Saccharomyces cerevisiae S288C: one gene and its partner. Changing the gene in region 1 together with any one later gene gives a genetic interaction. Each region holds a gene or a part of one and is shown on either strand. Other genes may lie near its edges.

The links. Genes that interact genetically often act in the same process or in processes that back each other up.
Region 2: mutations in ERV41 (region 1) and ESC1 together harm fitness more than expected from each alone (negative genetic interaction), as found in Saccharomyces cerevisiae (2 studies listed by BioGRID).

Annotation. Positions count from the first base shown.
Region 1 is NC_001145.3:137,968-142,206, reverse strand, and holds ERV41 (Erv41p), read left to right. Parts: upstream 1-1,992; coding exon 1,993-2,023; intron 2,024-2,116; coding exon 2,117-3,144; downstream 3,145-4,239. Other genes in the region: SMA2 (Sma2p), read left to right, coding at 674-1,783; ITT1 (RBR-type E3 ubiquitin transferase), read right to left, coding at 3,263-4,239. UniProt on the Saccharomyces cerevisiae protein: Constituent of COPII-coated endoplasmic reticulum-derived transport vesicles. Required for efficient transport of a subset of secretory proteins to the Golgi. The C-terminal Ile-Leu motif is required for exit from the endoplasmic reticulum.
Region 2 is NC_001145.3:705,464-712,609, reverse strand, and holds ESC1 (Esc1p), read right to left. Parts: upstream 5,478-7,146; coding exon 501-5,477; downstream 1-500. Other genes in the region: ERG8 (phosphomevalonate kinase), read right to left, coding at 1-294; transport protein particle complex II subunit TRS130, read left to right, coding at 5,723-7,146. UniProt on the Saccharomyces cerevisiae protein: Involved in the clustering of telomeres at the nuclear periphery, forming discrete subcompartments that accumulate a complex of histone-binding silencing factors like SIR4. Required for SIR4-mediated anchoring and partitioning of plasmids.

The DNA of each region.
Region 1 (4,239 bases):
ATCTACTCTATTGTGGTTTTTGTAATGAGTATTAATCAATAGGGAATGAGTTCCTGCTTCTGGAAACTTTTAGGCTGAATTTGCCGCCTATGCAGTTTTCTTTCCCTTTGCGCAACTTCATCTCTTCTCAATGTTGTTGTTTTTCTATGATTTTCGATCTGGCCGTGTCAACGTTAATAAAAAATAAGTCGAGGAAGAGAGTAGTTACATATGTAGTGGTGTTCGTTGGTGCAATATTTGTTGATATAACGATGAGACAGGTCACCAAAGAATTTCAAATATTTGAGGTTTATATCTTTTCTAATTTGGCGCCAAGTTATTATCCTGTGATACCCAGTAAGACAAAAAATGCCCCATAGCAGTCCTTATCTTAATACTGACCATTATGAAGGGGCTTACATTGTACAAACATATTTGTAATAGAATGTACCGGATATTTAAAATAACCCAAGCATCAATTGTGTAGTATTCTTAATTTTTTTTCTTGGTAAATTTTTGGGAGAACATTTTTTTGTGTCATCTTAGGGGAAATTATAAACCATTATACACTCCATACCATGCACTTACTTAAATTCTATGGACACATCCATCAATTAAAAGATAAAACTAATAAATAGAAGCATGTTATATATGAATATATATATTCTTTCTGTCATAATATAAAAGGGCGAGCATGTTATTCCCTAAACGTCTGATTGTGTGGGGTGTTCTATTGATTTTAAGTTTATCACAATTTGTCCTCTACCTGCCAGCCACAACATGTACGAACTCTAAGGGACTTAGGTTATGCGCTCCACAGTTTACTATAACTGTGATTGGAGGATCCAGTACTGCAAATGAGTTTATTGCAAGTGTAAGAGAATTTCTGCGATTGATTTCGTACCTGACAATTGACATGGGTTGGTCGAATGAATTCACTGATCCAAGTGTGTATGAGGATGAAAATTTGGTGGACACATTTCAGCCTGATAAGGTTTTTGAGCTCAATTATTTTGGATTTTGTAAACGGAGTAATAAAAGCAAAGTTTATTGTACCTCTAATGAGAATTATGGCATGGACGTACTTGAAGTACTTGTCAGAGACGTCGGGATTCAATTAGGTAACATTTCCACTACACGATCGAATGAAACCAAAAAATTCGGAGACTCTCTCGTATTGACCTACCGTTTGGCATTGACATCTATTCGTGATTTTTTGAAACACGACAAGCACACAGGAAATGCCCTATCAAAGGCTTTGATTGGCAGTCCTGATCCAAATGTAAAAGGCGTGTCACCAACAAAAAACTATCTGAAAGGCGTCAACCTGGCATTTATACTGATGATGTTCAACGGCATGGTTTTTTACTTTGCAGTGTTGGAAATAATAGTCGGATTCCTCAGTATCTGCGTAGTGTCAGCCTTTGGGGGAGCACTTAGTGTTGGGAAACGACACCGCTTATTTCCTATGCTTTTGAAGTCATCAAGTTCAATATTAGTTGTTATTGCTACATTGACAATATTATGTAACATCGTATATTTGATTGCACTGAAAACATTAGAACCTGAAGAGGTAACAGACGTAGGATCTGACAACGCTGCTGTACACACTACAGGCTGGGAACTGTTAAAAGTAAACGTGGGAAGTGGGTTCATTATGGGGCTCGCCAGGTATGCCATCCAGTGGGTCCTATTGGTACTCGCATTTCTTGCAGCAAATCATTACAAAGCTAAGCCCAAAAAGTCTGATAAGTATACAGAAGACACATCTAACTCCCCTTCTCCAGACTTGATGGAGAAGTAATTCACCACAGAACTTTTTTTTCAAATGACAGTAAATATGTAAACATATACACAGCCTTTCAGTATATTAAGTATTTTTGCATAACGTCCTTTTTTCCCGCTCGGTCAAGGCTTTGAAAAGATATTATCAATGTTCTATTCTTACTGAGAAAAGCGTTCCTCCAAAATGCTTTTGCTGTAACGTACAGGCAGAGACTTCAGGAGTATATAATGGCAGGATTGAAGACATTTGATGCGTTTCGTATGTTATATGGATTTTTCTGAAGTAGCCCGCTTCAGCATATTTTATTTTTGCTTTTGCTTTTTCACTAACAATGGAAATTTAACTTTACAGCAAAAACTGAAGAACAGTACAAGAAGAAATCCACCAAGGGTGGCTTAACATCTTTGTTGACATATCTGTTTCTGTTGTTTATAGCATGGACCGAGTTTGGTGAATACTTCGGTGGTTATATTGACCAGCAGTACGTAGTGGACAGTCAAGTTAGAGATACCGTTCAAATTAATATGGATATATACGTCAACACGAAATGTGATTGGTTGCAAATCAACGTCAGAGACCAAACAATGGATCGGAAACTTGTATTAGAGGAATTGCAATTGGAAGAGATGCCATTCTTTATTCCTTATGACACAAAAGTCAATGATATCAATGAAATTATTACGCCGGAATTGGATGAAATCTTAGGGGAAGCTATCCCAGCAGAATTTAGAGAAAAACTAGATACTAGGTCATTTTTTGATGAAAGTGATCCTAACAAGGCACATCTTCCGGAATTCAATGGGTGCCATGTATTTGGGTCCATTCCGGTAAATAGAGTTAGTGGCGAATTGCAGATTACAGCGAAGAGTTTAGGTTACGTGGCTTCACGCAAAGCACCACTGGAAGAATTAAAATTTAATCATGTTATTAATGAGTTCTCTTTTGGTGATTTCTATCCATATATTGATAACCCATTGGATAACACTGCACAGTTTAATCAGGATGAACCTTTAACTACTTACGTCTATTACACATCTGTTGTGCCCACTCTTTTCAAGAAATTGGGGGCAGAAGTGGATACTAATCAATATTCTGTTAACGATTACCGCTATTTGTACAAAGATGTCGCTGCTAAAGGTGATAAAATGCCGGGCATCTTCTTCAAATACAATTTCGAACCATTATCCATAGTAGTTTCTGATGTTCGTTTAAGCTTTATACAGTTTTTGGTCAGATTAGTGGCAATCTGCTCATTTTTGGTCTACTGTGCTTCGTGGATTTTCACACTACTGGATATGGCTCTTATCACCATCATGGGACCTAAGTGGTCCTTGCGTTATCAGCCAGATGATAAAACTAAGGGTATTTTAGATAGGTAGATATGTAAAAGAAAAGAGAATGCAGTATACCCAAGATAACGTTTCATTTTCATCTGTATAAATTTCATGACAATAGATTATAAGAAAAAGTGTGAGACTGAAGGCAGAGCGATCGCACTCAAGTTTCTGTGCCAGGCATACCTTCAAACAATCGTCCATAACAGCCTGAATATGCTTCTCTAAAATGTTCATAAGGGTCCTCAGGATAAAGTAATACTCCGCATATAAAACAGAACAGCGTCCCGCATACTTCGCATTTCATTTTATTGCAACCTTCACTTCTTTCTACAACTACCTTACACTTTGGACATCGCTGCAAATTCGAACCCTCTTTTTTAATCGCTAAATCTAACATTTTTTCAGCAAGGTAATCATTGACTTCAAGTTCTAATACTCTTCTCCCATATTTTGCCTCCAGTTTCCGCTTTCTCTCATATGAAGTAACGGTATCATCTAGATATTCCTCAATAATATCGGTCGATAACGAAACTTTCTTGCCACATTTATTGTTGTAACCATGCCAGGCATGCAAGCAGTCAAAGCAAAATACAAAATGACATTTTTGACACTGAATCATCGCATCATCGAGGTCTTCTTTTGTGCACCAACTATCACATCTTCGACAAGTCACACAAGCATACGGACAATATTTTGAGAGTCTTGTAGCCGCCTGGTTGTAGAACATTTTTTCGTATCTTTCACATAGCTCTGTATCGATAACCTCTTTTAAGAAGGACACTGGAATCAAAGGTGTAAACAATGCCTTCAGCATTTTTTTATAGCTCTTGAAATCTTCTAGTTTTAATTCTTTGTATTCGCATTGTGGACATCTTACACTGGATATTCGGTTTTCCTGAATCATTGCAGTGAAATAAGATTTGGCGCATCCTCTGCAAAGATAGTGTTCTACATTCGCATTTTCACATGGCAATTTGATCATTCTAACACCCTTTTCCATTTCCATACAAATACAACAATGGTAGTTAGATCTGCTCACTTTTTGGAGGGTGGCTTCCTCACTTATCTGCTTAAACAAGTCATACTGATCCTGTGTCAGGCACTTTCTTATTCCATTAGGGAATAGTAATATAGCTG
Region 2 (7,146 bases), 570 kb from region 1:
AAATACGTTAGCGATAACTTTTTCAATGAAAGGGTTCTTAGATCCGCCTATCGAAACAGGAATGAAGCCACTTTTAGGACTTATATGGTACAGCCACTCCCCATCTTTAAATTGTTTACTTTTCACACGCACTTCAAACTTATCAGACCCTTGCAATGAACCGTAAGGATGGGCTACAGCATGCATTCTTGCCGATAATCCGACTACAAATGCTTCATATTTTGTATCTAAAACTAAATATCCACCAGCTAGTAACGCTTTCCCTGGGGCACTGAAGGCTCTCAACTCTGACATTTCTCGAGGCAGCCGATTGATTTATTATGAGGCCTTCCAAGATGTTTTTTCACCTTTTTTGTTTTTCCATTCTTTATATAATCTTTCTTTCCATTCGACATGACGTTAACTCCGCCTTAAAACCGAACTTTTTTCCTTTTAGATCTCGTATAGAAAAACGCATCGCAATAATTATTACTATCTACATATTCCTGTATACAATTTGATTATTTGTCAACACTTGGATGCGTATTCTGTCCACGGCTTTTTGGCTCGTGCCCCCTACGCCTTTTAGTATTTGATGCGGCAGAACTGCCTTCTGTGATTTTTCTTTTCCGTCTTCTGCTGTTGTAGTTTCTTTTACGGCTTTTCTTTTTTGCTTTAGTTTTGTCCTTTTCGCGGTTTGTTTCCTCATCATTATTATTTTCTGGAGAACTTTTATCATTGATTAGTTCCATACTTGGTTTCTGTTCTTCAAGTACAGATTTTGAAGGCATTTCCTCCTGTTCTTCTTTAACTTCTACTTTAACAGGTATATCCACTGCTTGATGTTCGGGCTCCTCACCTTCATTTACTTTGATGTTAATGGAATTATCGTGTGGCTCATTATCAACATCGTGGCTAGATAAATGTTCTGATCTATCATCCAAAACGGATGTTACATTGGTTTTATCGTGTTTCTCAAGCGTGGTGGCGGGAATTTCATCATTAATTTCCATAGGGACTTCATTTGGCGTGTCTGAGAATATTTCATACACTTCCGGTGATGTTGGCGCACTCTTTTCAGCGGTAATATTTTCCGAATTTGAATAGGGATAAGAATCTGTCACTTCTTCCTTATCAGACGGAGGATCAGATGGAAGATCTGTGGACGGTATATTTCCGCGTTGCCTTTCATCATCATTCATTTTACTAGAAGCTGCTGTCTCTGTAGGGCCCTCTATTTCCAATTCGTACAACTCAGCTTCTTCTGGCTCTGAATTTAGTTCTTCTATTGACCTCTCCTGATTGTTTGATAGGTCCAGGTCTTCTTCATGTTCGGGGTGTTGAATGCTAATATCTAACTCCGAAAAAGTGTCTTCTTCAATTGCTCCAGCATATTTCTCATTAACGGACTTTTCAAACGTGAGATCCCGTTCACGGCTTGTATTAACTTCGTCTGATTCTTCTTGATTTTTTCCTCTCCTGGAATCTTCAATGAGCCTCTGAGAATAATTCTCTAGGTCACTTAGATTCTTTAGGAGTTGTTGTCTCTTAATATCATCGGGGGCATTACTGTGAATATTTGCTGATGTTATATCTCCATATATGGTATCAAATTCTTCTTCATTCTCGCTGTGGTCTTTCTTTTCGAAATGTTGCTCGGATTGTAAACCTTCAACTAGCGGCTCTTCCGACTTATGCAAATTTTCCTTGTCCTTTACTTGCTGTCGAAACACTTCGGAGTCCTCTTCATAAGCACCGTTTGTCGTGGGATCGATGTTTATCACACGAGAATTATTACCATTGTCATTATGTGCTTCTGCGGTAACTCCTCCGAGTATGACAGCTTCATCTTCATCGCTGTCTCTCTCTTTGCTACTTACACTTTTCATATTAACAGATGCATCGGTAGAATTCGACTTGTTAAAAATGTCTTGATTATAATCACCAATATCAACGTTATCATCACTCTCAGAATCCATAACATCAATTTTTTTCACGAATGATTCAGCTACGTCGACTACCTTACCCACTCCCTTAACTACAGCTCCAATAACACGAATTGGGGATGAAAAAATATTTGATCGATCAGATTCTGGCTTCAATGGTTCCACAGACTCAATTTCCGAACTGGACACCCGAATGTCCAAATTATGTTTTGCAGATCCCTCAACATTTTTTTCAGCTGTGGAGTCTTGGTCTCGGTCTGAATCAGAGCAAGCTTGGCTAACCTGATCATGCATATTGGTATTATTTTCCAGGGCTTTTGTGTTTTCAATGGTAGTTGCTCTTCTTTCAAAGAGCACTTCGTTGTGCGTTTTTTCCACGCACGACCTTTCTGGGATCTCCATATTATTTCCAATCGCATTCTCATCTATTCTTTCGATAATGGAAATGTGTGCTTCCTCCGTATCTGTATTCTGGATATAGTATTTTCTTTCACCAGCTTCGTAATTCGCTTGCGCCTCTTGATTGATGACGTCGGTGTGCATGTCTTTGTTCTGAACATTTACGGATGAACTGACATTGGCTTCGAAAAGTGTTTCTTCTTCGTGCACCTTATTAACTTTTTCATTTTCTGGTTCTACTATTCCGAGAGTATCCTTTTTTGTACCTTTAACTATATTTTCATTACTGCCTTCATCATTGCCTGGTTCTGGATCCGCATAATCTTGTTCATATGAATCCTCACTTTCCTCTTCATCAAGCTTATCAACTACTTCAGCTTTTGTAAGTTCCTTCTTGAGTGATTCGTCGTCTTCAAGATCACTATTTCTTACTTTATATTTAGTAGAAGAGAATTCAGTGTTGTCGTTGCTTTCTTGAAAATTGTCTGGCGAATCTGTTGAAAACGAAATTTGAGTTTTACTACCATCATCATTCTGTTTTACGCATTCATCGCCAGAAGACATCTCAGCTTCGTTCATATCCTTTTCACAGTATCTTAAATTTTCTTCTACATTTGAAGCCGTTTCAATTATGTCCTCGCAGGAAGAGTCTCCTGTAACGTTGGTATAATTAATCGCTGAAAAGTACTTTTCATCCGTGTTATCTTCAGTTGACTTGTCAGTACTGTTAGCCACGCCTGGAAAATTTTTACTTTGATTTTTATTTTCATCACCTGTATTTTCATTTTCAAAAGTAACGTTTTCCGTAGATTCATCCAAATCGCTCACCTGTTTAGTTTCCTTACTTGTGTGAAAAATGTTTGTGTGCCCAGATGTAGATGTCAAGCATGATTTCGTCACTCCAGCTTCCACAAATTCTGCATCCTTTTTGGTGAAAGCTGGGGCAAGGGCTGCTAACGTTGATTTCAGTAGGTCATGCTTCTTTTCGTAATCATCGTTCAACGAATTGAATGGGTCATTCATAAATGGTGAAGTGTACTCCACTTGCGGTGGCATGGCAACTGTGTTATCTTCGTAAGAAGTAGAACTATACACAGATTCAGAAATTACTACTTCATATTTCGGAGTTGTTTTGATTTCCATAAGAGGAACATCGGTAAGATTCTCTGATATAGCATCAGCGTCATCGAGTGAATAATAGATACTGTCTTCATTTCCTAATGATGAATTGTTAATCGTAGTATCTGTGGATAGTGGTACCAGTTCTTTTTCTGTAGAACCGTCCAGTTTCTTTTCAGAAACTTTTTCAACCTCTATTTCAACAGAAGATGAAAGATCACCTCGGTCTGTTTTTAAATTATTATTGTTTTCACCTGTGAAGTCCTTTAGGGGTATTTGCTCTTCGGATTCGTCTAAAGACCTGCCCGATAAGTTGCTTCCATTTGAGTGCCCTAAATAAGATTCGGATACCTGCTCCTCTTTTTGAGGGCAGTTCGAATTTCTACTTTGTTGGAATTGAAGCATAGCCCTTGCGGCGAGATCATACAAATTATCAGGGGAATGCTCGTGCAAATCACTTTCGACACTTTTTCCTGTTACGTCATAACCTTCAACATCGTTAATTTGATTTTCTCTTTCTACTATAGCAGGATCAGTTTCATTCTCCAAAACATTTTCCGAGTATTCACTTTTGTTGTTGTTTCCGTGAAAATTTTTGTCTAGAGAGCTTCTGATAATGTCATCTTTTTCAGGTTCTTCGTCATTTTCCTGTTGTTCCACTTTGTTCTTAGTATAAGCATCTTTAGCGAAACCTTGGTCTCTGCTTTCGCTGGTATTCTCAGTTTCTTCTGACGTGCTTTTTTCGTTTTTCATTTTATATTCAAAATCATCTTCACTTCCTTGTTCGCTTTCTTGTGCACTTTGGGATTCACTATCTGAAGATTCTATATCTTCTATTAGTTCCTTATCATCCAGTTCATGTTCATTATGGTGGTACACATTTTCAGCATTTGCTGAGTAACTTTCAGCTTGACTTTCTTCATCCTCGGACTCATCGTCAACTGAAATATTTACTGAACCGAAATCAAATGCACCGTCTTCTGAATATCTTTGATGGACTTTGTGCTCATCAGATTCATATTTTTCGATAACGGGGATCTTAGTATTATCTGTTCTAGGCTGCATGTATTTTGAAAAATCTACCGAATGTTCTGTTCCTTCTGCACCCTGACTTTCATCTTTTTCAGCATCGCTTTCCACATCAATGTCGTCTTCTAATTCCATTTCTACTCCCTCTGAATAATTCTGTCCTTCACTGGAATCAGAAGAACTAATTTGTGTAGCATTCTCTACATTTGCCTGTTCTTGCCCTATATTCTTTCTCTCAACTTGCCCCTCCTCTTCGGCATATTCATCATTCGATACATCTTGTAGTGCTCCTTCCTCTGCATATTCTTCATCTGATAATATCATTATTGAAGGACTACTTTGGCCGTCACTATTCTTTTCTTCTTCAGAGAGCTCGTATTCATCATTTTCAAGATCGAAATCTTTGATTAAAGATTGTTTACCTTCCAGATCTTCATCCTTATCGGAGTCGATATTTGAGGACGACTCGTCCTCAGCGTCCGGTAAGGGAGAACTTATGAAACTATCTAAGGGAATTTCATCATTATTTTGGAAAGAAGTATCCGTTCCGTATTGGCTCTTCCTGAGATCGATTAGTCGCTGATGAGATTTACTGTTTCCTGTGTACTTGTTCATTAAAGAGTCATGAAGCTGAAAACGTTGTCTTTCCTCCTCAAGACTACGCTCAAACAAGGCATCTTCCTTTTCTAGTGTAGTAAGTATACTTTTCCCCCTATTAATTAGAGAATCTACCCAGCTTAATGCCCTCGCACTATCTTCATGAAGGGATTTATTATGAATATGACTGCTTCGCCTGGAGGAAATAGATTCATGTAAAGTCGAGTGCTGAGTAGGCTTTGCTACTCTGTATTTATCATTGTGGACCCTTGAGTACCCATGTTGATCTTTCATTTTGGAATCCTCGTCCGCGTCAAGGAGAGATGACAGTATTTTCAGTTTTCTTCTTGGGGTCGTCAGTTTAAGTTTATTTGCCCTTGGAGTAAAGGTTTCTTTTTTTTTTGACATATTTTCACAGTATAGATTTATTGGTTCTTGTACTTAACCCCTTGGTGAATTTACAACGTGTTCAATATACTTGTCAATAGGACTAAAGACTTTCTCGCATTTTAAATTCCTTTGTTTTCACTTCTTAAGAACAGCTCGCGGAACATGAAAATGGTGAAAAGTGCAAGTTAGAAGTTTTGAAAGAAAGTGAGCATAAAAGCAATAAAAATAGCCAGTGAACTTGCTTTTACATGCTAATATAGTAGATGGATAAAGAAATATATTGTGGATCGGTTCCTGTCAGCTATTTTGACCCGTTTGATTTATTTGAGAGTCTGAGGCCAGAGTTTCAGCAGATTTTACCGTTAGACAATATACATTGGAAGGCATTTGACGGAACTGTACGAACGGTTAACAGGCTTCCAATTGAATTGATTCCAGAAGGTAGAGGGGAGGCAGACAAGTCTAATGATGAACAGCCGTTTATCAGATTTTTGATAGTGAACTGTATCTCTATCGACCAATACAGGGCCAAAGTACGGCCTCTTGTGAGACAGTGGCTACCAAATCTGGAATCTGTATCTTCATCGACAGGAGAAAAAATGATTTATAAACCAATTATTTTACTGTATGCCAATTCTGAAGTAGTGGACTCTAACCTATTCAAATCGGTATCCCTAATGGAGAAATTTGGCAAAGACTTTCCGCATGTACAAACTTTGGAAGTTCGATCGGTTTATAGATCTCCCAAAGAAAGGCAGGAGTTTTGGAACCAATTTAGCCAAAAGATTAAGGCTTCCGTACTGAGCATCTTTCAAAAACGATTGACACATTTGCAACATTCGTTGGCCAATTTACAAAAAGGAAATAACTTTGAGGAACAGCTTTTGACAAGAGAAAAATTGTACGAGTTATATGTGGTATTCAATATTTTGGAAGATGCCAGCCTGGAATTGCAAAAAATCAAAAAAGAAATACTCCGTAGAAACATGAATATGCCGGATGGAAAACTTCAGGTACCTTTTGAATCATCTTCTAAATCAGATGAATCACTGGGCTCCATAATAATAGAAGGTACACTCGATAAGTTTCAATTGCATAAGTATTTTTTCATTAGAAGGTTAAGACTTCTAAAACTAGAGGACCAGACGTTGACCGCCTTTGTAGGAGCATTTCAACTAATCAAGAATTTTATTGAATCCATATCAATAGAGTATAGAAAGTCTGTGAGATTATTGGAATTTAAGCACTATTTTATAACTTCGATGCTGTCATATTTTGAATTTGAGAATGTCTCAAATCCTCTCTTGTGTGAAATCAAAGCTGAGTTATTAATGTTGAAGCGCGACAACTGGGTGCAAGGTGTTATGGCTACAAGTGGTTATAGACTAATGGACAAAAACTACCCTAATAGTGACGTTAAATACAAATTTGATCTATTAAAAGAAACTTTTGTCGATGAAACTGTCTTCCAAGAAAACTTCCTTACTCTCACCAAAGAAATTCTTTCTCTCTTCAACAAATGTGAAGGGAAGCGTCAAAGGATAGTAGATATTTTATCCATTGAGATAGGTTTGCTTTACTATCAGGGAAAGAAATATGAGGAGGCAGTCTCGCTTTTCCTTTCCTGTTACGAATATTATACTCAAACGAACTGGAATAGCATTGGTTTGAAAATATTGCAAGTTTT